2 linked regions of the Lytechinus pictus genome follow. The protein of the gene in region 1 interacts with the protein of each later gene in a pairwise test. Links are inferred from orthologs where the notes say so. Each region holds a gene or a part of one and is shown on either strand. Other genes may lie near its edges.

Region 1 (17,352 bases):
TTACGCTAAACAATGTTTAGTATATAAACTTTGTGTTATGTGTTACTTTAAGATTGACCAGAGTGAATGTTGATTTATGCTTCTCACATGCCTAACAAGTGTGTATGAGATCCTGAAAATAATTATATGGCATCAAAATGATCATTAGATTTAAAAAATACTTAAAAATCTGAAAAATATTAACCGTGCTTTATCAAGCGGTGTAGACTTGGGTAAAACGCAGAGTATATAGGACCACGAATGTTTTACTGTGAGGAGGGTTTTTGGCTGAAATTATTCTACAAGTAAATTTTATCTCTGGGGTAGCCCTTATATGCGTTATCAACCTTTATTTTGTTTGCATTATGCCCGGAATTCATGTCTTTTTCATGGAATGGAAGGGGAATCGTCCTCGCCGTGCAAATATGAACGGCAGTGTACACCCCACACGGTGCGCTGCGATGACTGCGTGGTATAAAAATGACCGTTTTTGAACAGGTTTTGGGGGTGTTGTGCCAAGTAAAATCGGCTCTAACATGAAAACGGGCAAAAACGGGCAGCTAAATTTGGTACCAACTTAAAGCTTAGACATCTGGCAAAATGATAATGATAGAATTTAAACAGAAATCCACGGAAATATAAACGTTTCTAATGTAAATGCTAAAAACATGGATTATCAGCCTATTTCGAGGAATAATTGTCCTATAAACCTCCTGAAATGTGTCTTTTATCTAATTTGAACCATTTCACACGAAAAGAAGAATATATCAGGATTACGTGGGTGCCATTTCAGATTCCTACATGAAAAACCTCCCGTGAAATTGCTTGCTTTTCAACTATGTTGTCATACACGCGGCATTTCGCAAAATGTCACATTTTACGATTTGAGGTAGGAAATTAACATCCTTTATGCAAATTCCCGAATAAAATATTTTGCTGAAGTATTCTTCAAAGTGTTGTCTTTCAGCTGGGCATGAAAAAAATTAAAAATCTGAAATTGCCCAAAATGAATTTTGGCGCACTTTTGTTTCGCCCCGGCCCACTGTGTGCCGCCGTCGGAAAAGAGGCGCCTGTAGTCTCACACTGCTTCGCAGGTGAGACAAAAAAATGAAATGTGGGTCCATTAACACAAAAATTAGCGATTAATTGTACGCTTGATTTTCACAATTGATTGTACATTGTAGTAAATGCAATTAATCGTAAAAAAAAATGTTCTACAATCATTGCTAAGCTTTGTGTTACGGGCCCCTTGGGAACAATTCATGAAAGGACTTGTCAAATGTTTCATCTGAATCTGACAAAATCTTGTTTTTTATGACAGTTAACCATAGTAAAAGTGCCTCTCAGCCAGTGAAAATGAAAGAAAGTTTTGAGATCTGATAACTTGTCAGAGAACAAATGTTGATTAAATGCTCCTCAGAACTAAGTTCTTTCTCATTATTAACCTCCAAAGTTTGTCAATGTTTGTCTGTTTGCTTCACTGGGAGCCAATTTCTTTTATATTCCTTTAAAAATCTTGTGCTACCTTCAAAGTTTGTCAACAAGGTATGTTTGTTTTTAGCTTTTTAAAGGAGAATGAAACCTTTGGAACAAGTAGGCTTGTGTCAAAACAGGAAAATAAAAGAATAAGAACAAAGAAAGTTTGAGAAAAATCAGACAAATAATGAGAAAGTTATGAGCATTTGAATAATGCAATCACTAATGCTATGGAGATCCTCCCATTGGCAATGCGACAAGGATGTGTGATGTCACATGTGAACAACTTTCCCTTTGATGGACTATAAAATACCCCCAAAATTTCTCTTTTTGCTTTTTCTTGTGGTGATACAAACTCTTTATACACGGCGTATTCTTTAAAAATCTGTATTACATTCCCTTCTATAGAAAGGACACATGATCTACTGATAGATGTGATAAAAGAGGAAGTTTAAGTGAAATATATACTAAATGGGGAGAGTTGTTCACAAGTGACATCACACATCTTTGTCGCATTGCCAATGTGAGGATCTCCATAGCATTAGTGATCGCAATATTCAAATGCTCATAACTTTCTCATTATTTGTCTGATTTTTCTCAAACTTTTGTTGATCTGTTTCTTTTATTTTTCTGTTTTCACACAAGCTATCTTGTTCCAAAGGTTTCATTCTCCTTTAAGTAGGCTCAATTTTCATGGCAAATTGGGAATTCTGCTGCATAAAGAACATAACTGAAAGTCTGAAACCCTTCAAAGTTATTGATCTGAAACCCTGCTTCGACTTCCTTCGGGAGTCTACATGTATTTCCTCAGCTCTACTTTTCCCCTTTTTTGTGCTCGTTTCGATGCAACTACTACTTTATTTACTTGTTACCATTGTTAAATGTCTTGTATTGCATAATCAGTTTTTTTTTCTGAAGGTTGCCTCCTATTCTCTTTCAAATTCCACCTCTTGCTTTCCCTTCTCTTTGTCTTATCCCAATTTCTTTCCCTTCTCCCACCTCTCTTCTCTTCTCTCTCTTTCATAATCTTTCATCCCTCTTTTTTCTTCCTTGGTGACACTTTGTAGTACTAATGGCCTTTTGTATTTATTTATGATACATTTCTTTTTCATTTGTATGAATTTGTATTGTATTTGATATTTATTTATAATGTTTACATTATATTTTGTTATGATTCTATTTGTATGTAAACATTCACTTATTTCAGTCTTTGACTGCTTGTGATTGTATTTTGATAGTTTTTATTGCAATAAAATCCAATATATATCTATTTCAGACTAATTTTCAATATTATGAAACTAGAAAGTAGTTGCAGTAAACCTGATTTCATGAGAAAGTCTGTAAAATCAAGGTTCATCATAGATCTAGGTCTGGTACAATTACATAAACTGAAATTCATGAAATCATGAAATCTAAGCTGAACAAGTGGAATGCCTCTGGCGGTCTCACCTGCATCACGCGATTCAATATAGCAGCAGTGCTGACTTTGAAAACAACTATAAAATAATTATTCACAAAAAACACCATTCATATAATAATACAATACTACGTTCATTGACATTTGACCTTGATCATGTGACCTAAAACTTGTCAGTGATACTTGATTACCCCTATATTCACATTTTATACACTATATCTATACACATGTAAGTTATGACAGCAATCTAATAATTACCTCTAACATGGCCAAAGTTCAATGACCTTAAATGACCTTTGACCTTGGTCATGTGACCTGAAACTCAGACGGGATGTTCAAAGATACTTGATTACTCTTATGTCCAAGTTTCATGAATCAGATCCATAAACTTTCAAAGTGACGATGGTAATTCAAAAGATACCCCACATGGCCAAAGTTTATCGACCTTTGACATCGGTCATGTGACCTAAAAATCGCACAGGATGTTCAGTGATACTTGATTACTCTTATGTCCAAGTTTTATGAACTAGACCAATAAATTTTCAAAGTTATGATGGTAATTCAACAAATACCCCCAACTTGGCCAAAGTTCATTGACCTTACATGACCTTTGACCTTGATCATGTGACCTGAAACTCGCACAGGATGTTCAGTGATACTTGATTACTCTTATGTCTAAGTTTTATGAATCAGATCCATAAACTTACGAAGTTATGATGGTAATTCAACGGATACCCCCAATTTGGCCAAAGTTTGTTGACCCTAAATGACCTTTGACCTTGGTCATGTGACGTGAAACTCAAGCAGGATGTTCAGTAATACTTGATTAACCTTATGTCCAAGTTTCATGAACTAGGTTCATATATTTTTTAAGTTATGATGACATTTCAAAAACTTAACCTTAGGTTAAGATTTTGATGTTGATTCCCCAACATGGTCTAAGTTCATTGACCCTAAATGACCTTTGACCTTGGTCATGTGACCTAAAACTCAGGCAGGATGTTCAGTAATACTTGATTAAGCTTATGGCCAAGTTTCATGAACTAGGTCCATATACTTTCTAAGTTATGCTGTCATTTCAAAAACTTAACCTTCGTTAAGATTTGGTGTTGACGCCGCCGCCATCGGAAAAGCGGCGCCTATAGTCTCACTCTGCTTCGCAGGTGAGACAAAAACGGGTGTTTTAAAACATGTTTTAAAACACACCGTTTAAAATGTGCCACCCCTGCGTGGCTGCATGCGCTACTGTGCTGAAAATACACAAATGGTTATTTGTCCATGCATATTTTCTTCAAAATAAAAAGATTAGTCCGGAATAAGATCTCTACATTAGTGAATATCTGTAAATCTGACTTTGTAATGTCTTTGGAATATTTCCTCTTGTATAACAAGGGTTTCCTGCTGGATCTAGCAAGAAACAATTCTCGCTACCCCAAATAACGATTTCGCCGAGATCCGGGAAAAATCCCTGTAACGTGCATTGCATTATGGGATAGCTTTTCGGTATTACAACTTCCTGTTCCCAAAATAGTGCAATTCATTCATACAGTACTAGGGCCAAGGGGGATATACGTTTACCTTTATTGAAATTGAAGTTCTCAAGAACAACTATTATATTCATGGGTACTAAATGCTGGAACAGTATCCCACTTGAGCTACAATTATATCCTACTTTGTCATCATTTAAAAGAAAATATAAATACTATATACTGCAAAATGATAATTAATAGATTTTTGTAGAAACATGCTACAGTGTGTCAATCTCTCCTGTTTACTATGCAATCTCATTTTCATTTCCTCACTCTTTCTCTTTCTATCTTGGCTTTGACATCTCTTCATAAAAATATGTTTAATTTGTATTTTAATCGTATGGGAATACCCTCGATAAGCCCCCGTGGCTTTTGATGTTTCCACCATATTTCAATTTGTTATGTATTTTTTATATGTATGTAAATTAGCCTTCTCTCACTTTCTTTTTTTATAGGTGTTTTTTCTGTATGTGATATATATGTATATATTCTTGTTTGTGATTTGATGATTATGTTTGTTTTTAATTGAATATGGAAATAAATGAAATGAAATGAAATGAAATGAAGTCCAATGCACTGTTTTGCCATTCAGATCAACAGTGCCGTCATCCACAACAACACAACGTCGCTTTCGCTCGGAAATTTCGTGATCACAACCCTCTCTTTCACGATACAGTTTAACGGCCTTTTCTGCTTAAGTTACTAATTCTGCCCGACGCTTTCCATTAATAATAATAATAAACAGTTCTTGTATAGCGCATATCACAATTATGAATAATGTCTCTATGCGCTTCCAAAGGACTTGGATATTATTACCCCAGCTGTAGCTTGGCAGCCGTAATTACTAAGATACCATTGCACGGTATTCCTCTGTCAGTAAAGTTTTTTTTAAGTTCCGAAACAGATTTTTTATCCATTTTGTGGTCGACTTAAAATTGAACGGAATGAATGCTGTAGTGTATATATTTAGCGTCTAGTCAAATACGATCGTGATGTCAGTCGCTAAATGCAAAATTTTAATATATTCATTTTTTGTTTTATTTCTTTATAACCAAATAAAAACATGAATAAAAATTATTTTCATGTGAAATATATTTTGTATTTTTATTTATAATTCAAATGGAATCAAAACTGACCAAATTAAATAAAAAAGTATAATCTGTACATATTACGCTGATTTGCATCGATTTCAGCGTGGTGGAAAACTCAGTATCGCGAACCTCGCGCGAGCATAACTCTGAACCGGAAGTGGTGATGACGACCAGATGGAGTGAAAATTATCTCGTCTCGCGCATTATGAGATTTTTGTTCCTATTTGGGGTAGCGAGAATTCTTGTTGACCAATAAATATTGTACGCAACATTGAATTACAATATAGACTCCCCACCAGTTGTAAATTTCTAAGAAAGTTAACCTAAAAATTGACAAGAGAATGTTCAGAATACTTTACATCTCGATATGTTATCTGGCACAGAGAAATTTTGTGCATCGTTTGTAGTTTAACACATATCATAGCTCTGACAATATGAGTACTCAGTGAAAGTTACAAAAGTTACAAGGAACGATCAAAAGATTTACAGAATAATAACTCCTTAGATACAAGATGTTAAAACAATTTTCATAACACCATCCCAAGATTTTATCTCTGAAAGGTATTTAGGTGTCTTTTTATTATCTTAGACATAATCATAAGACAACCAAGCATAAAACTTTTTTTTTTCTTGCAAAACCAGAAGTAGGGCTTAATACAGCACATTTTAAGTAGTACGAGATCCGACGCAGAGCTGGGTAGTGCACAAGGCTCAAATGCGTGCAATGTGAAAAATAGCACACAAATCGTTGATGAACACGTATTGGTTTCTTTTTCAGGATGTAGGCCTACAGTATGTGGAAGTGATTTTGTTCATTTACCGCTTGACTGGAGATAGATGAGCTGGTCTTTGATCGGTCTCTGGGGTTGGAACGATTGGGCAGCTCCGGCAAGGGTGTGGGGGAGCTGAGAAGGATCATAATGTGGAGTGACTACAGCATACTGCAGCAGCTCCTGGTATTCTTCCTGGAGACTCGAGGAGATGGAGCTTCCTGGTGAATCATCAGGAGGGAGCATCGGGATGCTATCTGCCTCAGTCGATGTAGACATAATGCTCTGTTATTAACAACCACCAAAAAAAAAGCAAATGAGATATCAACTCACATCATTTGGGAAAACTTTTTTCTCAAATAATTTTTTTCTTTGTAAATTGTCTGTACTGTGAGGTGTGAGCTAGCATCTCAATTGGAGCTACACCCCAAGGAATTCATCAATCTGAAAGGAAAACGAGAATATCATTGATATAAAAGTAGATTTATCAAAATCAGTAATAAAATAAGAGTTATGGAAGTTTGAAACATGCTACATCACAGGTGATTGTGTGGACAACTCTCCATTTATTTAGTACACAAATTTACAGATTTTTACTCATACTTCTCATTCTTGCCTCCTTCACATCACACGAATCCACACACAAGTAATACCACTTTCCAATTTTTGAGAAAATTGCATTTTCCATATGTACTCCCAGTAAATTTGTTTTTGAAGTCCCAGCTAAGAAACATTTTTCCCCCTTTTTTTCTACTTCCGCTTCCAGTCACACATTAATAGCTACCTTTCTGGGATTCAAACCTCTGTTGCTCCAATCTTTTGATTCTCAGTCCAATACACTGCCACTGCGCTAGCGAGATATCACTGAAAGAAAGTGTTTCCAAAACAATACAAGTGGAATGCCTCTGGCCGTCTCACCTGCATCACGCGATTCAATATAGCAGCAGTGCTGATTTTGAAAACTACTATAACTCGCACAAGATGTTCAGTGATACTTGGTTACTCTTATTTCCACGTTTTATGAACTAGACCAATACACTTATAGAGATATGATGGCAATTCAACAAATACCCCCAACGTGGCCAAAGTTCTTTGACCTTAACATGACCTTTGACCTTGATCATGTGACCTGAAACTTGCACAGGATGTTCAGTGATACTTGATTACTATTATGTCCAAGTTTTATGAACTAGACCAACACACTTTCAAATTTATGGCTGTAATTCAACAAATACCCCAATTTGGCCAAAGTTCATTGACCCTAAATGACCTTTGACCTTGATCATGTGACCTGAAACTTGCACAGGATGTTCAGTAATACTTGATTACTATTATGTCCAAGTTTCATGAATCAGATCCATAAACTTTCAAAGTTATGATGGTAATTCAACAGATACCCCCAATTCGGCCAAAGTTCATTGACCCTAAATGACCTTTGACCTTGGTCATGTGATGTGAAACTCAAGCAGGATGTTCATTGATACTTGATTAACCTTATGTATAAGTTTCATGAACTAGGTCCATATATTTTCTAAGTTATGATGACATTTCAAAAACTTAACCTTAGGTTAAGATTTTGATGTTGATTCCCCCAACATGGTCTAAGTTCATTGACCCTAAATGACCTTTGACCTTGGTCATGTGACATGAAACTCAGGAAGGATGTTCAGTAATACTTGATTAACCTTATGGCCAAGTTTCATGAACTAGGTCCATATACTTTCTAAGTTATGCTGTCATTTCAAAAACTTAACCTCAGGTTAAGATTTGGTGTTGACGCCGCCGCCGCCGTCGCCGCCGCCGTCGCCGTCGCCGCCGCCGCCGCCGTCGGAAAAGCGGCGCCTATAGTCTCACTCTGCTATGCAGGTGAGACAATAACCGGATATCATGATTAGTCCAATCCCATTATTCAAGGCTATAGTGCCTTCATTCTTGTGACTAAATAATCCAATGTCTTAAGGAGTTAAACGCCCTGGATTTTCCTTCAAAATTTGACAGAATAAAGCCATATTTTGGTATGTGCATCAGTGCATGAATATCCAACTGTTCCTTGCTAAATGTCATAGATATTTGTTTGAGTAACTTGTCCAAGATTTGACATAATGAGCTTTTCTGCATGATTCATTTATTAAGCTATCTTTTCACAAATGAAATTTATACCAACGCATGTTAGCCTACTTTTAATTCCATAGTTCATTTTCAATATTTCATAAACTCTTGAAATTATCACCAGGTTTTGCGGATAAGAATCGACTCCCTCTGCCCTTTGTTTGACATAGCGCATCACGCACTTAATAGTCAATGCATGCAAGAGGCGCTAAATTGCGTTGCACTACTTGCGATATGCAACCTGGAAGTAAGTGGCCATTCACTCCCACATTGCTCCTGGAGCCAGTCGAATGAAGGCAAACTAGAGGCATGCCGTTGCCTCTATTTTTTGTGCAAATTGAATCCATGAACTTTTAAGATACAATCCTAACGAGAAATTTCGAAAAAGCAGAACAAAACCAGATTCTTAGTTTCTAGCACATTTTTTTTTTACTTTTAGCGATCCCTGTTTCTTGAAATCAGATTCCACGTGTTTTAGGGCAAAATCTGACGTTTGACATTTCAGAGAGAATTTTGGAGTTGAAATCAGGACTTTATATGGTGAGTGATACCAATGTCTTTCATTGTTCATGTGTTTGGTGTGAATTGTGGTGATTGATCATTGACATTGTCGCTGGCTTGCGAAAATGGTTTCTCCGCACATCAGTTGATAGATTTAATTTGTCTAGAAGATCTAGTGTAGGGACAGTGATTTACCGCAATCACGGAAAACAAACGGAATGCACGGAATTGGCCATTTGAAACGGAAAGTGGCTTTTCAAAAAGAAAATCAAGGAAAACATATTTTTTCTCAAAATGCACAGAATAGCAACAGAAATTACTTCATATCCTCAACGAAATACGAATATCAACTGGCTACAAACATGATATCACTTTGCTACATCCATGACAATCCACACATCGTGACTGCACTCGACTCCATCACTCAATTGTATCGAAATTACATTCATGTCTGCATAATAAAGGCAGAAACACAGCTTTGTGTTGCTGCCCTCTGCGTTCAGTTAAAACATCATGACCACTGTACTCCCTTAATCCAAAATTGTGGATAAGCGAGAGTCGTCGACTGCTCAAAACGATGTCCAAAAAGGATGTATTCATGTTAATGTTTTTTTAAATAGTTTTTGTACTCGTATTACCTCTATTACAATAGATTTTAAAGTATTGTTAGTACAGTGGCAGATACAAATTTTGACCCGCGTGAGCATTTTGACATCGCTACTTGTCGCGTATTGATTTTCTATGTAAACAGAATTGTCACTTTTTCATGTACACAAAGTCTATGGGGAAACAGAACTTTCGTTTTCATACATGCTAAAACGGAATTTAAGATTTTCTGAAACGGAAAGGAAATTTTTAGAAATAGAAAATCACTGTCCCTACTAGTGTGCATGCCATTACTAGTATAATTTTTACCTTATCCATAATCTAGATAGGCCGAGATAACATTAGACTTATAGATCTAGATCTACTAATAGTATAGTGAGTCACCACATACACATGCATCAACCACCTCTTTCGAAACCAACCACCTTGCGCTCATTTAGATTATTGCATATTACAAATGCTATGTGCGGGAGAGTAGGCGCAGTGTCCATAGGAAGATAAGAATCGATTTAACTAGAGAAAAGGAGGGATAAAAAGGTTTAAAAAATTTAGAATTCATCAAAATTGTATTGACCAGACCCGAACCCTACTGCAAGACAGTTGTTCATAGTCACACCAAGAAATCTGATAGGAAACAACAAATATCCGTCGTCAATCATCGAGTCATGTACTGGAGCATGCAGTGGAAGTAGTGAGACCATCATTTAGCATGGTGACATCATAGAACTGAGTTGGAAGAGTAAAAATATTTCACCAGCGTGACAAGAAACGGCGGTAAAATAAGTGTATGGCTGGTGGTCGGTCCTAAGTCAGCGTGCGACACTGGTCAGACAGTCCCAGACCAGTAAAAATTGCTGTAGGGCCAGTAACTTTACAGAAATAGCCAGATTTACTGGTCCAACATGACCAGTAAAAAATATATCAAACTGATACAAATGATATTTTCTCCTCTCTTGTGAATTGTAAATATGGCTCTAGCATCTTAAAATATGGGTATAATATTGCCAAATATTTTGTACTAATATTGATGAGACTTTGCTCATGATGCTTAAGTTGTTACTTTATGACTGTTTAAAATCAACTGTCTGGCAACACAACTAGGTATGTTTAATGATTACTGGGGGTTGCAATGATGATATGGAACTCTTGCCTTGTTTTCTGTGTCAGACCACCGGCGCCAATGTTTATGTTTAGTTTGTTTGAAGCTACCATATGATTGTATAAATATTAGCCGGCATGTTCAGCCTAGGCCTTGTTGAATAAAGGTGTTCATTTTGCATCCCAATCTGATGTGGTAATTTCTCCCTTTTTATTGTCGTGGTGTCAGCGCTAGGTTCGTTCCCTGCCACATAGGAATTTTTAGGCCAAAACTGGGTCACGCATCGACAGTTTAGGACTATAGCTGTAGTGATTTTTGCAATTTGAACTGGCTGATTCATCGCTCCATCAGCGTTAGCGACACACAGGTAATGCTTTGATAGCCTCACGTATAGTACGATACGATGACGCAGTCAGCGGAAGTGCCCGCACAGTTGCGCAGGTTGAGTCGGTACGAGACTCCCGAATCCTTCCTAGAGTGGAAGCGTAGTTTAATGATGAATTTGTGTTCATATACTGATTTTTTGCCTTTTCTATCGGAGAGTATTTCATGGCAAAGGAAGTCGAAGGCAAATACCGTACGGGGTTTTGTTGACGATTCCTTTGACGTTGCTGGCGGTAAGACAGCCGCTCAGAAAGTTGTGGTTTTGGAACTCATGCTGGGGCAAATTTCAGCTTCTTGCCCGATTATCGCCAGAGGTTCTATTGTAAATAAGTCCACTTCACTTGCAGACATATGGGATCTTGTTTGCATACATTTTGGTTTCGACAGACAAATGCTAGCTAATGACAATTACCAATATCATGTCAGTCAAACTCAAAGTCTTGATTGTTGTGAAGATGAGTTGAATGACAATGAATTGAGACATGCAGGACGTGAGAAAAATAATGTCACTGAGTTCAGATGTAATGATCGAATTAGAAGTGATCAGAATAAACATGAACTTGTTATTGTGTTCAGATGTGATGAAAGAAGTGATGAAAATAAACTTGAAGACAATGTCAATGATAATGGGTTGAGATTCGTTGAAGGATGTGATGAAAATAAACACGAAGACAATGATATTGAGTTGAGATGTGATGAAGGAAGTGATGTAAATAAACATGAAGACAATGTCCATGATAATGAGTTGAGATGTGATGTAGGAAGTGATGAAAATAAACATGATGACAATGTCAATGATAATGAGTTGAGATTCGTTGAAGGATGTGATGAAAATAAACACGAAGACAATGATATTGAGGTGAGATGTGATGAAGGAAGTGATAAACATGAAGACAATGTCAATGATAATGAGTTGAGATGTGATGTAGGAAGTGATGAAAATAAACATGAAGACAATGTTAATGATGAGTTGAGATCTGATGAAGGAAGTGATGAAGGGCAAGTCCAAGAATTCGCGCACGTTACGTACATGTATGGGACATTTCAGAGGCTTTAATGACCTTAAAAATAGTGTTAGATTACTTTGATTAAATTGAATACCCTCATGATGGTAGACATCTAGGAGAAGAATAATCATGCAAAAAATTGTGTCATATGGCCTTGACCTTGACCTTTTAGACAGAAAAGATGTGCTGTTACGTATGGGACGCAGAAAAAAGATAATTTTTAAAACCTTTTTTTTCAAGTTGAGAATTCTCTGAAAGTATTTCATTTGACAGCTTGTATCTTAGTGTGATAGAAGTCACTACACTCTAGTATATCTATGGCAAGTTTCATGTCATAAGCCCAAACCCTCTAATTACAGACTCTAATTAAACAAATTAATGACATGTTACGTATGGGACAGTTACGTATGGGACATTTTGTCCCCATAGAGAACGTACATAATTTTCCCTACAATTTCAAAAATCCAAATAATCTAAAATATGGAAATAACAAAAGAGTTTTTTTCTTTTAAAATGTTTTATTGAGACATATTTGATATGACTGAAAAGAAAATGAGCCATTTCAACAATTTTTTTTCTTTTTTTTCATAGTTTCATGAATTTCTTATGTATTTCTATTGTTTTTTATTTTTTTCATATTGTTCCATTTTCACAATTTTTCCACTTTGATTGTTTTCATCAATCAGTATTCATAACAAATTAGTCTTTAAACACTAAAGAAAAGGTAAATAATCACTTTTTAGAGCACTCTTGAAAATGGTTTTTCTCCATTCACTTTGTACACAAATCTCCCCATTGACATTATGTGTAAATGTCCCATACGTAACATGTTGTCCCATACGTAACAATTTTTAATTAAAAAGTAAACTTTATTTTTGAAACTTTTTGTGGTATAAAAATTTCCTAATTAATGAATTAGAACTTCCCAGAGATACAATAATACAAGTATTGCATTATGAGAAATAACTTTAAAAAACATCCTCGAAATGTTATGTATGGGACATTCCATCCTTGGACAAGACCTAATTTGCATATTTAATTAGATGACACCACTTTTTTCCCCAAAAAGTAATAAGATGTTAGGGGGTCCATGTCCCACCTATGACTAATTCTCACAAGTTTTGTTTTGATTTTCTATGAGTTTTTATAATTGTCCCATACGTAACGCCCATTTTACCAATTATGCAAATTAGGTGCCCCAAATTAGCATAAATATGCATATTATCATATTTTTCTTTATGAAATTTTAAAATTCAACATTTGGGCTTTCTTACCCCACCAAAGATAACTTCTTAAATTAAAGATGAAATTTTGCCTTCTAGGGTGACCTTTTCTTGGACTTGCCCTGAAAATAAACGTAAAGACAATGCCAAGGAGTTTAGCTTTGTACATGCAGACGAAGGTGGTATCCCCAGTCGTGATGTCGATGACGTTGCTTTGCGAGAAGATGGAAGAAGTAGTCATGACGTGTTTCATTATGGTTGTAACATTGGAGTGACAGGTGATTGGAGTAGGCCTGTTCACACTAGCGATTCTTCGAGGTTTAGCGTTGAGTTAGATGGGTCTAGAGCTATATCGTCCGGAGATTTAGATTTAACCGACCTTGTAACACATTCTGTTAATCTTGATGGTTGCGCTGCTGAGTTGTCGGCAATGCATGTAGCTAATGATGATCATGGTTCTCACAATGATGTGGTATGTAATCCGGGTATTCCTACCGATGATGATTGTTTATCGGAGCCTGATCGTTTCCAAGGTCATGAACTCACTGTTGGACTGGGATGTGATCCCCCTTCACTTGATATGCTATCAGGCACTTGCACACTTGGTGCGAGTAAAGATCAGTTGAATTTCTGTGATGTTGTTGATAGCAATGTTCGCTATGTTGGTTCATCAGAGAGAGATGAAACGTGCAAAGACTTGTCAGTTATCCCTGGCAGTACTCCTGGTTTCCAGATTGAGCCAACTTTTACCTGCATTGACGGGGCTGATAGGCTCTTGCGCTCTCTGATACACTGTTCACTCATCACACGCCCGAACAGTGCATGCACCATTCACATACAGGCACTCGTTTTCGATTCACACATTCGAACGATAGGCTAGCCGTTCTCGATCTCGCTATTGGCCAAACTAACAATACCTCTGTTCGGTTCGCATGTTCGAATGATAAAATAGCTGTTCTCGATCTCGTTCTTGGTCCAACTAACAATACCTCCGTTCGGTTCGCATGTTCGAATGATAGAATAGCCGTTCTCGATCTCGCTATCGGCCAAACTAACAATACCTCCGTTCGGTTCGCATGTACGAATGATAGAATAGCCGGTCTCGCTATCAGCCAAGCGAGCAGTACCTCCGTTGACATGACAACACATCAACTGCGCCTGTATATGCTCGAGCCATCGTCTCGTATTCAGTTATCTCCAGTTAACCCAACTCGAGCCATTGATCCAGGTGCTGATCGGAAGTTCACCATGGACTGCTTTGAGCAAAGTACCATCCCTGATCTACGTCAGGATCCACCACATTCTCTTCAGCTTGAGGATGCCCTGGTCCCCCAAGGACACTCCCCAGATGTCCATATTTACCAGCATGGTGTTGTTCACTCCAGCTCTTTTGTGGTTGATGCCATAGCCACCACTGTCCAGGATGAGGAATTCCAATGTCCTCTAGACCGATACCATGATGACTCCACCTACCAGCCTGTGAGGGATACCGCCTCTGATGTGATCCCCAGCCTGGGTACAGTTCTTATGAGTACCAACATCTCGGTTCCCATGGGTCGACCCCCCGACGTCCAACGTGTTCGCGATGTCTCCACTTCATGTACCAGTGGAACTGCCCGAGATTGTCATCACACCACCCTCAAGATGGGCCCTACTACAGGAATTTTGATGGCCTCACTACGACTCGCCTATGGACTTTCGCGACCTTTGGTCCCCATGTCCGCTGCTCTATATGATCCTCGAGGTAACCCCTCATCGCTACTTGGTCTGCTTCGGAACAACACCTGTTGTCCAGACATAGGTCCAGACATAGGCCCAGACATAGGTCGCTTTGCTAGCTATGCGCCGGATATTACCCCACCCCCCCCCCCCCCCCCGGCCCCTCCACACCCCCAGCCTGTCCCCTGCATCAGTGTTTTTAGTTAGCAGCAGCCGGTCACGTCGCATTCTACGCCGCAAGAATTGTTGGACTATTTTTACTGTTTTCACTTGACCGCTGTTACTCTTTCTTCGAACATTCGCAGTTATTGACTGTATTGATGGTGATTTATTCCTTGTCGATTTGTAATCTGTCTTTGTATATTTATGACAGTGTTTTTGTTGGTTTCTTTATCATGTTTAATGTTAATGCCATAACCACATTATCTGTTAGTATCTTAGACATGTTTTAATCTTGTCCATTTTGATATTGTTTTTTATTTTTACCAGTTGGTGGTGCAGTTGGCCTCCAGTTGTACACATATAGTTTAATTTTTGTACAGTTACTTAAGTTGGTTATTTTTGTCATACATTTTGTTATTTTTTTTACAATAGCCAAGGGTACTCATGTAAGTTTTTATTGGACTTAACACTGACCAGTGAAGTTGTGTAAAAAAATTTGTAAATATTCCTTGAGTGAGATATTTTTGTTTGTTATGATTGTGCTATTGTTATTTTGGGATACTGATGTGAGCCGTAAGCTTATTACATAATGGAATTTTATGCTATTGTATTGTTTAATACTGATAGTTTAGATTTTACCTCTTGGTTTTTATTGGTGACAGGTTTATGTACATGTAGGCCTCATTTGTGATATTTCCAGTATATTCGATCGCACCGTTTCGCTCCATGGTGTAGCTGTTTTATGCCTTTTAGGTTCTGTTTTACTTGTTTTTTAGCTTGTATACGCCCTGTTACAGGTACCTGTTTTGTATTGTTCCTTACAATTATGATATACAGGTGGCACAACAGTGCATATCATAGTTAAGATGTGTTTAAGCTTGTTTACACGGTTTATCAGTGTAGGTCAAGTGGAAGAGAGAACTGTTTTTCACGACATGCCTGAATTTTGGTTTATAGTTACTGTGTATAATTTGTTTTTATTAAGGATAGTAATATGGATCATCATTTTTTTTTAAACTATTGAAAGGAATAACTTTTGATTCGGATTCATTGGTTGACTATTGTGTTTACCTGTAATGGCACGCTGTTATGGAAATGTGAGTAGATATTGGTCAATTTAGAAATACCTTATAGATGTATTTTTTTAAAGCATATGTTTGGCCTTTGTTTAATTTTTTTGTGGTCATGCACGGTAAGAAGTTGATGGACGAAGAAGCATTTGTATATTGGTTGTTGTAGGTATTGTTTGTTCATTTAACGTTAATGAACAGTTTACATGCCTTTAAACTTGCATATTTATATTAGCTATTGCCTTTTGTAGTATACTAGTCTAACTAGAGTTATGCAGATACGTGTATTGTATTTTTTTACTTGATTGTGTAGGTTTGTTGTTTAACATGTTCATGGCCATACATGCAGTGTTGTTACATACTAGTTTGTGCTTTTTATGCAGATTTCTAGTGAAATACTTGAACTATTTTAGATACTCGAATCATGTGATTTGTACTGAGGGTTGTTTAGTCCAGAATGTAGTGCTTGTAATTCGGTGCAGCACAGTGTTTAGGTAATTCGCTTTCCATAGATGAAGATGGAAGAAAGAAGAATGTATCACGTCAATGTTTGTGTTTAGTTTGTTTGAAGCTACCATATGATTGTATAAATATTAGCCGGCATGTTCAGCCTAGGCCTTGTTGAATAAAGGTGTTCATTTTGCATCCCAATCTGATGTGGTAATTTCTCCCTTTTTATTGTCGCGGGCTGGTGCGGCGGTACCTCAAGCGATGTTCGTGTATGCTCCACTCCACTTCACTACCACTACACTATGCTTCCCAACTCATCCAGGAACGAATTTATAGCCAATATAACCTCCTTCTCGGCAGCATACCGTGGCATGGACAAAAAACCTCACTATTTTCCTCCCCATCCCTCGCCCCAAGTATCACGACTTGATCTAACTAGATCAAGTGTGATACTTAACATACCTTTATATTATAAAGACCACTCTAAGTGATCTATATCAAATAAAAAATGAATAAAAACTCACTGATTTTTCCACCATATTCATGATAGGACTATAGATCGAAATCTGATGCAAATGTGAAACGATCCAAAATAGCGAACCAAATTGCTCACGACCTGTGGGCAATTATTTGCGTTTGCGATCGCCATTTTGGATTCGGCGGTGAATAGATACGTGTGGGGTACTGCGAACCGGCTTCAAATCACCGATTTTTAGACCTTTACAAGAAAGGGAAAGGAGTGAGTCTGTGTCCGATAGCA
Region 2 (17,254 bases), on another chromosome or scaffold:
GAAAAAAGAAAATAAAACAATATAAATATAAAAAATAAACTTTTTCATGAATCAACAATATTTACATAAAAAACAAACTTTCATCTACACCCATACAAAAGTGAAATGCCAGTCTATTCCAATAGATAAAAAGTATGATGCATTTGTAACCCCCCCCCCTAAATGGATTAGTAGACTGATTTCAGTCATAAAAAGTTCATGTTTGTATATTGCTCTTTTGACAACATTTAGAGGTCTTTATATGAAAAGGGAATTTTTGCTCCACGAGTCACTACGTATTCAAGAACATAGAAAAATGTATTATCAAATGCCCTTCATAGCAATGAACAATCTCTGTCGAAAATTGGTGAATCAAAAGCTAAACTCTAGGCAAACTAGATATTTGCAAATTTTCATCAGCTCTAAAACTTAGGATGAAACTGTTGTTCGGATTCACCAATTTTCAACAAAGACCTACCAACTGCTGTCATTTGATGGGTAATTTCAATACACCTAATGTGTTCTTGATTCCATCATGCGTCACAGAGTGAAAACTCCGAATCTATCTGTTAAAGTCAAATTCGAGTAATCTTAGTGAGCATCAAACTCAAGGTGAACAGTTTTCATCATGACAGAGTGCTTTGTGTTTTTTGCTAATCAAAAAAATGATTAAAAAAACAGTAAAATGAAAGAATCAGTGATGTTCTTTCATATTTGCTATTCATTGCAGACCTTTGTGTTACATGACCCTACCATAAACCCTGCTTCAGTTACACTTACCATCTTGGCAGTCATGAGTTGTAAGAAGTCATTAAAATCAATCGTTCCTGAACCTTCTTTATCAATGTCCTGAATCATCTTTTTAATCTCTTCTTTCTTGGGTTCAAAACCAAGGGCTCTCATAGCAACCTGTTTCAATACAATAGGTGGAAGATAAATTAATGAGGACTGGCTGTTGATAATCGATAGTAGTATTCTAAGGTCTACATGAAGTGACTTTACCACAGGACACAACCTTGACGGAACTACATGTATCATTTTCAATAAATGCAGTTTTGAAAAATATAAATACTATTAAATTAACCTTATTACATACAAAAATTGCATTATTTTATGTTAGAGATCACATATCACCCCAGCATTTTCAATAAAGGGTTTTAAGTACAATATGTACAATTGTAATTGCTCTTATTCAAAGCCCCCCCCCCCCCCCATTTAATTGTTTCATCTAATAGTCCAAAGAAGTTCCACATTCAATCCAGGTCCAAGGCACAGAACAGTAACAATATTTGTGACACTGACAGGGTGTAATACATCAATAATTAAACAAAGATACATGTTCATAAAAAAAGGAATGGAAATTTTAAAGACTAAACTTGAATAGGGTATTAGGAACTATTCAAAAGACGGAAAAAGGCTCTATGTTGTCATAAACTAGAATACGAATTGTCTCCAAGACAACAAAATAGTGTACTGAATGAATTAAAGTGGCACATTGTAGAAAATGTAGCAGAGCTTTTACAAGGATTATATATTTTGAACATACATGTATAATAAAAATATACTTATTTGTATAGCGCAGAAACTATGTGCATATATTCTACTGCGCTGTAATTAAGAGCGATATATCAAGAAAAGTGATTGTGAATTCAACAAGAATATTAAGACCAAAATTCATTTTGGTATATATTCAGACTCCCATGAATTACTAGCTATTGTTGTTATGACATTTCATTCGATGGCAAATGTATAAATGATGAATAGCACAAAGGAAGTTTTCACTGTTATGCTTTTGTTGGAGTTGAGTTGACCTTTAACTTGAAGAACAACACATCTTAGGAGAATAGAGATGGAATGCCTTCCTACCTTCAGTTCCTTAGCATCAATTGTGCCTGCTCCTTCTGTATCAAATAGATCAAAAGCCTCTTGAATCTCTTGTTTTTGTTCTTCTGTAAGCTCTGGCTTTGGACCTTGCTTCTTTCTCTGCCCCCCAGCCAGGGTGGTCTTGGTATAACGACTCGTCTGTGGATAGAAAAAAAAGTATCAACATTTCAGGTATTAATACACATATAATAACCAATGAAATTAGCATTACATTGAATAGTTTATAATCATGATAAGATTACGGAAATATGTAAAATTGTATTGATCAATTATTTTTCATGATAGAACAATAATAGCACAATATACATAATTAGAAGTTTTCAAAATATGAAATTAAAAGCAATGAAGTAATGCCATAACACACTTTTAATATATACCGGTAAATGTAAATCAGTTAGCAGTGAAATATGGGGAGGGGAAACCCCATATATATATGGACAAAGATTTTGAACTGTCATTAGAATGAGGAAATATAGATGTTTTTGGTTATATTTTCTGAGTACAAAGGGGAAAGTTATACTTCTGTGACATCACAAATCTTGGTCCCATTGCCAATACGAGGATCTCCATTACAATAGAGATTTTGAAATGCTCAGAACTTTCTTATTGTTTGTCCAGTTGTTTCCAAATGTTAATTTTTCTGTTTTCATTACAAGTTAACTTGCTTCTAAGGTTTCATTCTCCTAATTTTTTTTTTTTCTGGTTAGATCACAATATCTATAGAAATAAGATCTACATGTAAATGCATGGTTTTGTACCTGAAAATATTAGCGCTTACCATTCCAGCTCAGTGACTGGAGTTTTCCAGAGACAAAGTTCTCCACTGTTAAGATACTCATCCTCAAGATAATCATTTTTCAGCAGACTTATTTATTTTAATTTTTTTATAACAATTCACAGTCACGATCGTTTCCAGTTAATTGTTTTGATGTTGAGCCATTTCCTTTTTTTTGGAGTAAATTGCATGGCTGGTTCATGATAGAAATGAGGAATAAGCCTGCATGATGCTATCGCTTCATGACATCACCCATGGTTAGGACCAGTCATCCTACATGTATGTACAAGGTTATGATCTAACTGTCCTCAGTTAATAACCCTGTGTGGTGAAATAAGGTCTGGAAATGTTCAGCTAATTTCTTTTGTGCACAGTCTGTTTCTACTACAGTCATTCATCATGTCTTGGTAAAAAAAACTACCGGTAGAGAGGCCTACAGTTCTTTCAATATACAGCTACATGTAGTCAGCCTCACAAGGATATGCTACTATTTTTCAAGCACTCTGGACTGGTGAATAAAAATAATAAGAGTTCTCTAGATCTAATACCCAAGATTGTAATGAAAAACATATCATAAATAAATGAGCAGAGTTTACTTGTTTGTGACAAATATGGCCCAAAGTGGCATTATCGAGAAAATGGGAACCAATTCCCATTTTAAACTGGACACATTTTCAAGACAAGACATGCCCTACCTACCAATGACTTCCGATTACATACTTCATTGCCGTTGCTGAGGCTGCTTCTGAGCTTCTTAAGATCAGAGATTTAATTGATTGCTGTTTCTTCTCTATAATGAAATCGGAACCTGCATGGAAAATTCTCCACAGGCATAGAGTTGTAAATGAACATGCTGGTTTCCATTTCAGTATGTATAATCAAGAAAATTTACTTCAGAGATTTATTTTGTCAGTGACGATTCTAATCTCACCAGTAGACTAGAATAGAGGCATAAGAGAATGTGAGAATTATTTTTGCAGTTATGATGCTAATATATCTAAATAGTAGACTGCCCTTGTTCCACTTGCTGAAACGGGAACCAGCATGTACAACTCAATGGTCAATTCTCCGTACAGCAGTTGTACACAGTGGTGCCCATTTAGACAGTTATACTAGTTGGCAAGATTCATCTTGTCAGTGATGATTCTGATGACAGATAGAGTTTACTAGTGAGATTTTGTTTTGTTTCTGATTTACTTAATGAATGTCATTGATTTTTTTTAACTGTATGAAAGTGGTATCTAGAGCGATCTTGAAGATCAGGGAAATGCAGATGGATTAATAATCAGAAAATTATATAATTCAATAAAAAAAAATTGACTAAATAAAGCCATGCAAGGGATGATGATTCATCGTCAATATCATTTGTCCACCAATGGAAATTTGAGGCTAAGGAATAATATCGAGTGAGAAAGAGGGAACCAGATGCATGGAGAGCTTTTGCATTGTAACGACAATGTTATGCAAAAAAAAAGGCTTTCAATTTGGCATTAAATCTTTTGAACATGAAAATCTCTGAAGCTGGCCTTAATCACTCCTAGTACCAGTGAGGTCAAAACATAACGGTATTGACTTCATAGGCAACAATAGCGGATATAACGGGGTGGTGCATTTGTAGAAAGTAGGCACAGGTGGTAACACACAAATGCACACAATGATGGCGACAAGGATGGTCGACGGGATGAATTGTCTAGTGATTTTATTTTTATTTTATTTTAGTCATGTACTTTTTTTAGTGAAATTAGTTATTGCTTATTGCAGTTTAGATATCACAAATTAGATCAAAGCCTAAGGTAAAAATTTGATTACATACCTGTGGATTTTGTACATTTATGCGGGGGGGGGGGGGGGGGTCGGGGGGTGGAGGCCCTCACATACATCAGTGGTACGGGGCCGTACAGCGTTGAGAACCCCCCTTTTCAGACCTCATTTTCAGTTCTCTAGATACTCTGAATGATAAAAGTTCCATTCAGAAACCGCCCCACTAACAAGACCCATGTTACGAAAAATCTGTTCCCCAGCCCTGCCTATACAGTGCGTTTCAGAAAAAAGGTAATCCAAATCTACAGGGCTGATATTGGGATCATATTTGATTTTGTGAAATTATTCTGCATGGATATGAAAGAGAAACTCATCTGCTTTCCATTCATACCCTATTTGTACCATAAAATGTTTTTCAAAGAAATTTTTAGAATGAAGAGTCAAGGCATTCCTCTGAAATGATTATTGAAAGATTAATGTCTTATTCACCTACACCTTCAACATGTCCTCCTCTCCTTTGCACACAAAACCGGCAGCGTGGATAAGAATTAAGAATATCTTGGACAGCTCGTCTTAACATTGCACAAAAGGCATCCACCTCTTGTTGAATTCGGCCCTGCAAATCATCAAGATCTTGGGGAGGAGTTGCAAACATTTTGTTTTCCAAGTGCCCAAAAGGAAATAATCACAGGGCATGAGGTCAGGGGATTTTGCATAGTGGCCATTCTACGTCCTGGTTGAGGGCAACAACTTGATGTCGAACTAAAGAGTTCTCGAACGACGTTGGTAGGATAGACAGGAGCACTGTCCTGAATCCACCAAAGATGCAGGTACACTCCTCGAACCTGTCTGTCAAAATGTTGGTCCAATGTGGTACGATCTCCTCAGAAATCATAAATGCAAGTCGGCATACATGTACATTCGCCCATTTACACTCCTTTGGAAGAAAAAAGGTCCAATCAAAAGATTTTTGCCAGCTCAGGCATCAATGAAAGTATTTACATCTGCATCTACCTTTCCATCAAGTTTTCAAAAACTTTGAAAAAGTGGTATCTGCACCTGTTGTCTTCAACATCAAATAATTCGGTCATGCATGGCACAAATGGTACAAATAGGGTATCAATGGATAGCTGATGAGTTACTCTGTCACATCCATGCAGAATAATTTCACAAATTTAAATATAATTTGTATATCAACCCTCTAGATTTCGATTACCTTTTTTTAAAACACACTGTATTGTCAAGCATAATCATCGCAAAGCTAGCTGCATTTACTCATGAATATTTAGGAGTATTCCAATACTGTAGATCGCGATCAAGAAAATAGCAAAACAATCTCGATCTAAAGGAATATTCATGAGTCTTGACCAGCGATAACCTGTGAATGTGTAATTTGCATTTGCAATGTGTTGGAATCAGCAGTGAAAAATAAGTGCGAGGAAATAGCTACTGGCTGTAAATCACCAATTTTGAGACTGATAGAAGTGTGGACAAGGAGTGAAATGTAAGATGAGTTGTTATAAATGAATTGTAAGTTGTATTAAGTTCGCTAGGCACTGTGCCTAGCGAACTTAATAATACAACTTTTCAACAAGCAGTACGTAGAGGCGCTGGTCAGAAAATTGTATTCGTCCCAGATTTTACAGGGACTGTCTCAGTTTTGAAAGATTTCTCCACACAAGAAATCTAGGATAGTTGTTGTTGTTGTTGTTGTTGTTCGTTGTGGGTCGTTTCCACACCCAAATGATCTCCTAGCTGGTATACTCTCAGTGAGTTTGTCACAAGGTTGATGAGCTGCTAGTAGGGATCCCAAAACGAAAATCTAATTTTTGAAATCTATGTTTAAAAGCATTGAAAAGTACCTCACCTGAATCAGCATATTAAAAAACCCCAATTGAATGACTTTTAGTGTTCCAAAGAGATCTAAATATCTGTTAATCTGAGGCGAAATTAGGTCCGAATTGTGACAGATTTGTGTACAAATTTCTCTTTGAAATTTGGTCGACACGTACGGCACAGAGCTCGGCACTGAACGAGGGATTGTGGGCGTGTCCTTTCTCGTCTCGGTCTATTATTACGCAAATACACAACTCGAACGAAAGTACGTTCACCGTATCAGTTAGTCTCGGATCCGAGCTTATACAAATAAACAATGATTAAATAACAAGAAAATAATAGAAAGAAGAGAAAAGGGAAAATGAATGGCTCAAATGCAGTCGTTTGGTGACGGATAGTATGCTCTGACCTCTTGCTGATATAAGGATTAGATATGACATAAGTTTTATGCCATGATAACTAAAGCATGGGGGGGGGGGCGAGGGCACTCTGACTTTCAAAATAATTAACTATTTAAACATCTATATCTAGGCAATTAAGGGAGGGTCCGGGATTTCCAAAGGGGGGGGGGGGCACTATTAGCCATGTTAGCGGTGGCAGTCAAAAAATTTAGGGGGGCACCAAAATTTTTGACAAAAAAAGGTTATCAAAGGGGGGGGGGGGCCGAAAAAAATTTTAGCCCCCCAAAAAGCTAACAACATCCCCCATAGGCAGCGGGGGGGGGGGGGGTGTGCCCCCCTAAATTTGAGGTGGGGGGACGATCGTCCCCCCCTAATTTTTTGTTGATAATCTTTTTTTTTGCTTGTCAATTTTTTTTTCCTGCGTGCATGCCCCCTAAATTCCAGTGGACCACCCTAAAAAATTCATGTGGTCTCCCCTAAAATTTGGGTTGATACACTTTTTTGGGGGAGGGGGCTTGTCACAAAATTTTGGTGGTCCCCCTCCCTAAATTTTTGATTTCCGCTGCCAATGGTCCCCACCTAAAATTTAGGGGGGACATGGCCTATGGAGGGCACATTTTCCCGATGCAAATTTGATGAGCATTACAAAATATTTTTTTACCAAAAATTGAAAGTCATTTCGTCCATAAAAATTGACAAGCAAAAAAATAGGGCATATATATATATATCCTCACTTTCAAGGGGGCATGCTTGGGTAAAAAGGGCATGCTTATATTACAAATTACAATTTTGGCTCTCGATAATTATGCCCCTTGGACCCACCAGTAATCTAAGGGGAATTTTTTGTTTTTAGTTTTGATATGGCTACCTTCTCGGAGGGCGTCCTCGCCGCGGTAGCTGGATAGTGCTGCAAAAGAGTAGGCCTTATACATATTTTGCAGCATTAACTGACACTCCGAGACTTATAATTTTACCTTATACTTAAAAAATGAATAATAAAAAATAAAACATAAACACTTGTTTTTAGAGTAAGTTGATGCAAAATATATTCAGTCTGGGGCATGAAGACTTGGAACTCTGCCCCATATCATTGTGCTTGCCTCGCTCGATTTGTATCATTAAAAAAAAAAAAAAATGTTTCCACATTAAAATTTTGATCTAAGTACAATGGCCAGAAATAATAGTACGAATAAGCTAGCAGAATTTGTATCATATTACCCATATTATTGAACGCCAACGAAGGCAGTTTCTAAATCCTGTTTGCTTTATTCCACTTTTCCACTAAGATTCATCCCTTTTGCGTGTCATATGAAAGCAGTTTTGTGCGCAGATCTAGCGTACCGGTAGGACCACATGCAGTCATTAATAGGTCTCTTTAATTTTTTTTCCAACAATTGATGTCTCATGCTTTCTTTAAAATTAATAAATTAGAATCCTTGTATATGGCCCTGGGAAGTGGGGTGCTCGGGTTGTGACCCCCAAGTTTTTTTGTTTTTTTTAGCTGGTGGTGCGTTTTTTGTACACGTATATAGTTTAAAACAGGAAGAAGAATGACATTGATTTTTGTACCGCATTATTTTCATTAATAATTTTATTGGTAGAAATAAGGTAGAAATAAAATTTAAAAAACATTTTTCAAAACTATTCCGCGGCTCCTGGAAGAATGGAGAGATGGACGGAAGGAGAGAAATAAATAGGATGAAGGGGTGGATCCAGCTTTCGCCAAAGGGGGGGGGGGGGCCAATTTTTTTTTCACCATTATTTTTCCCCAATCGGCCGCGCGAATATGGTTTATATTTGTTTCTATGAAGAAATTGTCACTTCTTAGCTTTTGTCTTATAAATCAACATAAATATATGATATCATAACCCTTTTTATATAATGCGAGCTAATTTATTAAAAAAATTATGTTTTTCCCCAAAGTTTGAAATTTCTGGGCAATGTTTATCATGAAAAAGATGTGTATGCAACTAAATAATTACTAAGAACGCGAAGTGCGAACAGAATTGAAATCATAGGCACTTTTTGTAACTTAAACAGGATAGGTATATAACTTAGCAATATTGATGCGAAGCGCGGGCACAAAATTGGAAGATTTAGACCTAAAAACGAGACATGTCTAGTCATGTCTTTTAAATCATCATGGAAAAGGATGTCAAATTGCCGATCTTTGTTACTTTAATAATACTCGCGCAAAGCGCGAGCATAATATTTTTGTATACGTTTTGAACTGATCAAAAAGGTACCTGTTAAGGACTGCTTATTTCACTTAGCCATGGAGACGTTACATATTTCAACAATAAAATAATGCAAGCGCGAGCCGATTTTTTTTTTACACTTCTACATAAAGAATGGAAAATTTTAATCGATTATTGTGACCATGAACAGGATCGTCGCTATAAAACAATTAATGCGAGCGCGAAGCGCGAGCGGGAAAAAAAATCGAGATTTAGACCTAAAAAATGGGACACTCTATTCATGTTTTGTATAATAAGGATGAGTAATAGGGGTTCTTCCTACATAAAAAATGCGAGCACAAAGCGCTAGCAGAATTTTGTTTTTCAGAAACTGGATAATGATTGAAATACTAACAAGTTGAGTATCTATAGATAGACATGCGCTCGCGTGTTTCCGATTTAGGCCTACAATCTAGGCATTCTGAATATATATTTTAACATGAAATTGAAAATCAAAGCGAGCGCGAAGCGCGACCTTAAAATATTTGACATTCTGATCTGAAAAAGGGGTCAATTTCAGCTCAAGTACTTTGTGAGGTGAATTTGGATCGCACTTAATAAAGAGCTGATAGATTTGACAAAGGACCGGGACATGAAAGTGATGAATATCTTCCTATTCCTCTTGCTAAGCGCGAGATGAAACAGAAAGGACAATTAAACCATTAAAATTAATATCTGATCTATAAATGCCTAATGAGACGCGAAATCTGATGATAACATGGTATGAAAACTGGAAATTTCAAGCACTTTTGTAATTATGAATATGATGTATCAGGTAATATTTTTAACCGTTTATGCGAGCGCAAGTCGCGAGCCAAAATTTTTATAAGGCCAAGTCACAAGGATTACCCTCCTTTTAACTGCCATTATCAATATGTTACTACATTATAAATCATGTATTTACTCTACATATGCATTAAATTCTGTGAATCCCATAATCTTGAACCATTAATGCTTCTTTCTTTGACCCATGCTATTTCTGCCCATTTATCTCTTGAGTGTTTTTTTTTCTCTCTCTCAAGGTGTGTATGGCACATTGAGGAGTATAGAATCATGTTGGAGATATTGAAAGGGGTAGAATAATTGAATGAAATTTATGGGGGGGGGGGGCAAAGATGTTGAGACAGAAAGGGGGTTTGAGAGAAAAGAGGGGAATTAACTATAAAGGAACAGCAGTCAGGAGAGGGAAAGAGAGAGAGAGAGGGGGGGGGAGGAAATCGAAGGAAGATATGCATACGATAAAAGAGTCCTCGTAGAAAGAGTGAGAGAGAGAGGGGGGGATATGGAACTGAGAGATCATAATGAGATAAGAAAGAAGTAGTAGTGCATGGGCGGATCTATCGCCAATAGGGGGGGGGGGGGGTGCCAATTCGTCTACGGCCAACTTCAACTTGTCCACTCCCCGCATATCGAAAACTTGTATGCAGTGTACCGGACATGTAAAAACATAGCAGACGACGTTTGCAGACCTCGCGATCATCGTATGACTAGTGGTGTGGAATGTTCCATTGCGGCTTTATGGGGGAAATAGCATTACAGAGGGATAAAATGTATACACAGATAATGTTTCAGCGTTGATTCGCAATATTTTGAGTCAATTTTCATAAATTATCGTTGTTTGAACATTTAAACATCATTATAAAATGAAAGAAATAAGCAAAACTTAATTTTCAGACTTAGCTATGCAGTGGTATGCTAGCATGCACCCCTCGTATACATAATGGACCCGTCATGGGTGTAGGTTTGCTCTTCGGACATCACTTTCACAAAGAAAATCTCCTCTGATTTGATGATAAAAGTGCCCTATTTCCTTATTAACCAATCCCCATGGTTCTTTCATGAGTATTTGCCTTACAATGTGCCCTTTATTGTAATCTGGGCGGAAATTCATGATACCACCACCCACCGATGTGACGACGGATATAATCCACCGGGTACTATAAAAATGTCCCCCAAACCCATTATCCCAATACATATTCCTGACTATGGATGGTTTCTAGTGATTTTAATGTAATAAAGTGCCATATTTCCCACCAATTGAATGTAAAAAAAATTATGGTCATCTGATAGAAGAAGTTGTTACCATTCATTTCAGGGGGGCGGAAATTCTATCTGAATCAACGCTTGTCCTTGATACACATTTGTTTGTGAAAAAAGGGTATAATGCAAGGGAATTCTGCGTGTTATAAGGGTGCGCGCGTGCAGCGAGGACCTTCTGTCCGCTAGTTTTCCATATACTACATGGTCTACTTTCATTTAGTCTTATGCCAATCTGTCCATCAACATTTCGTCTAACAGCCACTGGTCCATTAACCATTTGGTCCAATCATCACTTTGTCTAATAACCATCTCGTCTATGACCATTTAGTCTCATAACCGGTTGGTCTAATATATACCCATTTTATTTTCATTCATTCACAATAATACACTTATAGTCCAATTAGATGAAATGGTATATGGACCAAATGGCTTTTGGGTCCACTGGTCATTAGACGGAATGGCATTAGACTAAATGAAGAAGAAAAAAGACTATGTGGTGAGTTGACGAACTGATGGACCAAACGATAGTAGACGAGTTGGCAATTAGACAAATTGGAAATAAACCGGGGAAGGGGCCGAAAAATATTTGCACCCGTATTTTCCACAATCAGCCGCTCAAAGTTAATAGGGGTAGTCCTAACAGTCACTTCTTTATTCTCATTAAACAGCATACACAAAATACAATATACAATAATATCATAGCCCCTATAGTGCAAGTGCGAAGCGCGAGCTAAAATATTTTTGAAATTTCATGTTTTTTATCCTCAAAATTGAACATTCTGGGCAATGTTTGTGAACTTGAACAAGATGCGTATTTTACTAAAATTGCTGCGAGCGCGAAGGAGCAAAAAAAAAGTAAGTAAGAAAAGAGAGAAATATACGTTCTGGCCTGATCGAAAAGGGACTTGCTAATGGCGGTTTACAGTTAGCCAAGAAGACGATGCATATTTCAATCAAAATAATGCGAGCGCAAAGCTCGAGCTAAAATGTTTGAAATTCTGACCATAAAAATGGACATTCCAAGCACTTTGTGTATGAACAGAACACAGTGGGAGCACGAAGCGTGAGCGGATAACAATTGAGATATATATAGACCTAAAAGGAACACTATTTTATATTTATGTTTTCTAAATCGTGAAAAGGGTGGGTAATTGGTTACCGTCTTACATTATTTTATAATGCAAGAGCGAGAAGAATTTTTTTTATATTCTAATCTGAAGCGAGATAATTTAAGCATGCTGTTTTCAATAAAGGATAAGCAGCCCGTCTCAATAAACATGCGTGTTCTAGAATTTGTGCATTCTTAATACACTTTTTACCACGGAAATCAATAATGCGAGCGCGAAGCGCGAACTGATAATATTGGATATTCCGATGTGAAAAGGTCAAATTAAGCACAATATAGGTGGTTTGAATAAAAATGAATAAAACGGCTATTTCGACTCTCCGTACGGCCGCCGCAGAGCAAATGTGACCGAGGTATAAATCAAAAAGAATAATGAAAGTTCAATGTCCTAGCTGACCGTACAGTATTTGTTTTGTATTTTGACTGCAAAGCTTAAATGTCAAGCTCATATATATCAGCCTATTGAGCAATATGTACTCATCGAAAATAAGCAATGCGAGTGCGAAGCGCGAGCGAAAATTTCAATTTTGCATGTTCTTTTAAATCATCAAAGTCTCCCCTCCCTAATTTTATTCACTTTTCTCCCTCCCTTTCCCCCTCTCTTTTCCTTCTGTTTCTTCTTCCTTTCTCCATTTTTTGGTCTTTATAATCCGCCAACAGGGAAGGGGGGATGACCCCCCCCCCTGGATCCTTCTATGGTAGCGATGGGGAAAGCATTTGAATTATTCACCTCACAATGTTAAACGGGGAAAATAGGAAATGGCTAAATTTTGAAAATCATTAATGTGGAGCCCTATTCAAGTTTAGTTTCATCTATATACACCTTGACAGGGGCTGATCCAGGATTTTCCAAAGTGGGGGCATTCAAGACCTAGTATGCTAAGAAAAAATCATTCCATACACAAAATTCCTGGGAAAAGTTGAAAAATAAGTCCTCACTTGAGAACGAACGACAAAATCCACTAACAAATATTTGATATATTACGGGAGGGGGCACCTTTATTTTTCTCCCCTTTCCTTATTCCTCATCCATTCCATAGGCAGATCCAGGTGCCGGACCCAATTATGGGCGGCGGCAACCCCTCCTACTGGCGGTGCGAAAATTAAAAAGGTAAAAATTGTAGCCCCCCCCCCCCATTAGCAAAATGTTGATCTACACCGGGTATTTGTCTGTCGTACCTCCCAGTAAATGAAATAACCCAAAAAAAAAATCACCGTTGCACTAGTATTAAAATTTTTGCGAGTCTTTATTTTTCAAATATTTTTGTTTATAATGGTATTCATTAATTATAATTATAGTGGAGGTTCGCATCCCGAGAATGTGAAATGAAAAAAAGAAAACAAAAATTGCACTGAACAGGAAACACTAAACGTCCTTGTCAATTCCAATTTACTAAAAGTCATTCAAATAAAAAAAATAAGCATCATTTTTTGATACCTTAACTTGTTCATCACGAATACAATGAAGCCGACAATTATTTGCTTTGTTTTGGATTAATCTTTATAATAATTCACTTCAAATAAAATTTATACATAAACAGGAAAATATCACAGAAAAAAAAATTAATTGCAGTTGTATAAAACATCATAGAAAATAACATGACAGATAAATTTTATCTCGACAGGCACACTGTTCATTCGATCATAAAACAATCGCGCTGTTTCACTCCTTGTACACGCACATCTCTACCAGTGTTGTTTCATCTTCATCTGCCTCAATGGCAAGGACACCAGCATGATTCATTCACTTCAAATAAAATTCATACATACATATACAGGAAATATCAAAGAAAATAATATAACAAATCAATTGCAGTTGCATAAAACACGATAGAAAATAACATGGCAGATGAATTTTATCTCGACAGGCACACTGTTCATTCGATCATAAAACAATCGCGCTGTTTCACTCCTTGTACACGCACAACTCTATCAGTGTTGTTTCATCTTCATCTGTCCTCAATGGCAAGGACACCAGCATAATTAATTCACTTCAAATAAAATTCATACATACATATACAGGAAATATCAAAGAAAATAATATAACAAATCAATTGCAGTTGCATAAAACACGATAGAAAATAACATGGCAGATGAATTTTATCTCGACAGGCACACTGTTTCATTCGATCATGAAACGATCGCGCTGTTTCACTCATTGTACACGCGCAACTCTATCTGAATTGTTTCATCTGTCCTCAATGCGGCAAACACCAGCAGTGCAGTGACGATAATAAGTTGCAGTTGCACGTGCGCGGAGAATGAATTAAATTCGGCGGCTGAGTAAAGTCTAGCGAGAAAGGTACGTCACCAGCGAACTTCACGATAGACCACGCCTACTTGCCGAGGTAACCAACGTTGATTGACGGCCCATTTTGTTTTTTGAGTAGTATGAAAAAGTGCAAGCATGTATAAACTTCATTTTAGTTTGAATTCATTAAAAAAACACATTTTTCTTCTAATATAGATGTTTCAAACATATTCCATGTGGAAAACATAATTTTTAAAACATTTATTGCTATATTTTTATCATGAAAAAAGGATTTCTTACGCAACAACAAGTATGATATGTGTGGGCAAGAGAACTACCGTTTTAGTCATAAAGCATATTTTTTATGATTTTATTGTGAGCCTACTCAAAGGATTTTTGTTTATTTTTATGAATTTCCAGACCAAGTTCAACAGCGCCGTCTCGAGCTTGCAATAACGCATGCGATCGCACGCATTTTTCTCCATAGCGAATACACGCGACGAAACTCTGTGGATTTCTCGTGGATTTAACCTCCAAACGTCACTTTCGATACCACATGAAGGTAAGACACTTCATCCCACATAAGTTAATTTAAATGTAGAATACACAGGGCCTAATTTTTTTCACTAAGATGAACTAATTTGCTGAGGAAAAGCATTTCAATGCTCATTTTTGCCGTCGAGAACAGACGATGGTGGCAATGCACACTGTTTACGCACTTGCAATTGGCTTTTCATTTGCCCATAGCAATTTTGCTCAGTGGATCGGCCGACCTTTTGGTAACTCTACTGCTAGGTACTAGGATAGTTCATTCACCTGTCAAGTGCTGACACCAATCAAGTGGGCATAAGCCTGTCTAGGCTCCTTGACCTTGATGTACTGACAATATCAAAATCATAAAAAATATCATCACGGAGTCCTCTAACTAGACTCGAGTAACGGTCGTTAAATGATTTAGTAGAATTAACTGACAATGACATGACATGCAGTGGGTGTCAAAAAAATCAAGCATAAAATTAAAATCATTTATCCCCCAAAATGGGCCAAATCAAGAGAAAATAAGCCAAACATTGTCAACCTTATTTCCTCACACAGAGAACAAGGTTACAGTATATCATAACCTTGTTTACTGAATGAATAGCACATGCCACAGCACAGCTCAGCTAACTTTCAAATGAATAATTGAGATGTCTAAAATATGCAATAAAGTAAAACCACTCACATAAGTCTTAGCGAATGGGACCGAAGCTAAAAATTGAAACTTCTCAAAAAACATTTTTTCTTCACATTGTCGGTATTCTTTGCTCTCTCTGACTCTGACACACGAATTATATCCAAGTATCGAAAGTTACGGCCCAATACATACCATTCTCTTCGTTACTTCGGAACAAAAATCTTGATTTTTAGATCGCCTTTCCTTCCCAATATGTTTCCAAACACAAGTTTAATATCACCTTCGAGACGATATGTCGGCGGTCATTCCAGCGACGTGATTGGCTAGCTCTATTCTGTCCATGGACCTAATATGCTCTGTCTACGTCTTCTATAAATCGGTGGTTCTGGGTTCACTGTTTCTCATCAAATTCAAGGAAAGTAATCAGACCCAACAAGCTTTGTCATTTTTAGAACCAATTACAAGCATACTAATTTCTAGTATACACCCAGTTGTTGTGTGTCTGGACAGGTTGTGTGTCCGGACGATCAATTTAGAAAGTCATTTGGAAAAATTTACAAGTGAAGTTTCATCAATTTTCATTACAAAATGTTAGGAAATATTATAGAGAACCAAATAGAAGATGATTACGACTATCGAATTCATATGTTTAGTGTAATCCAAAGACAAAAAAAGGAAGGCCTCAAAAATATAAACTGTTCGGACACCCGACCCCCATCCTACTTTTTTTGGTTATATATAATTATGTGTACATTTCATATTTTAATTACGATATTTATTTATATCTTATCTATAAAAATTAGTATCATATAATACTCTTGTTTGTATTGAGTTATTGAAAATGTGAAATGTTGATTAATTAAACCTGAACCTTGAACCTGGTCGGACAGAAATGTTGATGAAACGCTCCCTGGATTAACAAGTTATCAGCCAATCAAATTGAATGATCTAGGCTAGGCGCTATTAATTAGCTTGAAACTGTTATTGCAAATTTGTTTTTATAACATGTTTTATAAAACGGGTCCCTCTGATCTTTGACAGCCCGCTATTAAACGTTAGGCTACATAGTCCGGGGGGCGAAATTATTTTTCCCACCGAGTTCTGGACCAACATATGAATATTCATGACTTGCGTCTTCGGATTGAGAGTACGCATGCGCGTGGACTTGGCCTCGACCAGTGCCGATCGTAAGCATTCACGTTGCTCAGAATGAATTAGCATCGTCAAATTACCGGTACCCTTACATAGTTACATAGGCCTTATAGGCTTAGATCTAAACTAGCTGCCATTAATGGCAAGACATGTGCTAGGGTAGGGCTAGCTTAGGCTAGCGCATTAACTTTACCTCAAATCTGGACCAAGCTGTCTAATGCCTAATACTAATAGGAATAGCCGACTATTAATGCCATGGTTAACTTCGAACTTGTTAATTCCGAACTTTACGTTTGATTAGGTTTGGACCAATATTAGCTTATTTACCATGGTTTAATATGTCTAGTCCGTACGGTATACAGAACCAGTCCTAGATCTAAAATAAATATCTTAGTTCTAGTCTAGTCTCTAGATCTAGACTCTGATCTACGCGCTATCAGCATGGAACCACTAGTGTACCAAAGGGGGTGGGGGCAGACTGCCCCCCTGACGAGTCACAACTGATCCAGGGGACGTGCCCCCCCCCCTCCTTGAGAAGCCAAATTAATAATTTGTAATGTCAAAATGCAACGAAAAAAGACGTATGTCCCCTCTTTTGGACGTGAAGATCTTTTTTTTTTCTTGTCAAATTTTTTTCA

The links.
Region 2: the proteins of centrosomal protein POC5-like (region 1) and uncharacterized protein LOC129261036 interact in binary tests that used the Homo sapiens proteins (3 or more experiments, as listed by UniProt). The link is inferred for Lytechinus pictus from reciprocal best matches to the Homo sapiens genes POC5 and CETN1.

The regions. Positions count from the first base shown.
Region 1 is NC_087247.1:29,888,733-29,906,084, reverse strand, and holds the start of centrosomal protein POC5-like, read right to left. Parts: upstream 6,542-17,352; coding exon 6,313-6,541; intron 1-6,312. UniProt on the Homo sapiens protein: Essential for the assembly of the distal half of centrioles, required for centriole elongation. Acts as a negative regulator of centriole elongation.
Region 2 is NW_026974140.1:2,532,222-2,549,475, reverse strand, and holds the start of uncharacterized protein LOC129261036, read right to left. Parts: upstream 6,497-17,254; 5' UTR 6,279-6,496; coding exon 6,267-6,278; intron 2,002-6,266; coding exon 1,846-2,001; intron 889-1,845; coding exon 760-888; intron 1-759. UniProt on the Homo sapiens protein: Plays a fundamental role in microtubule-organizing center structure and function. Plays a role in sperm cilia formation.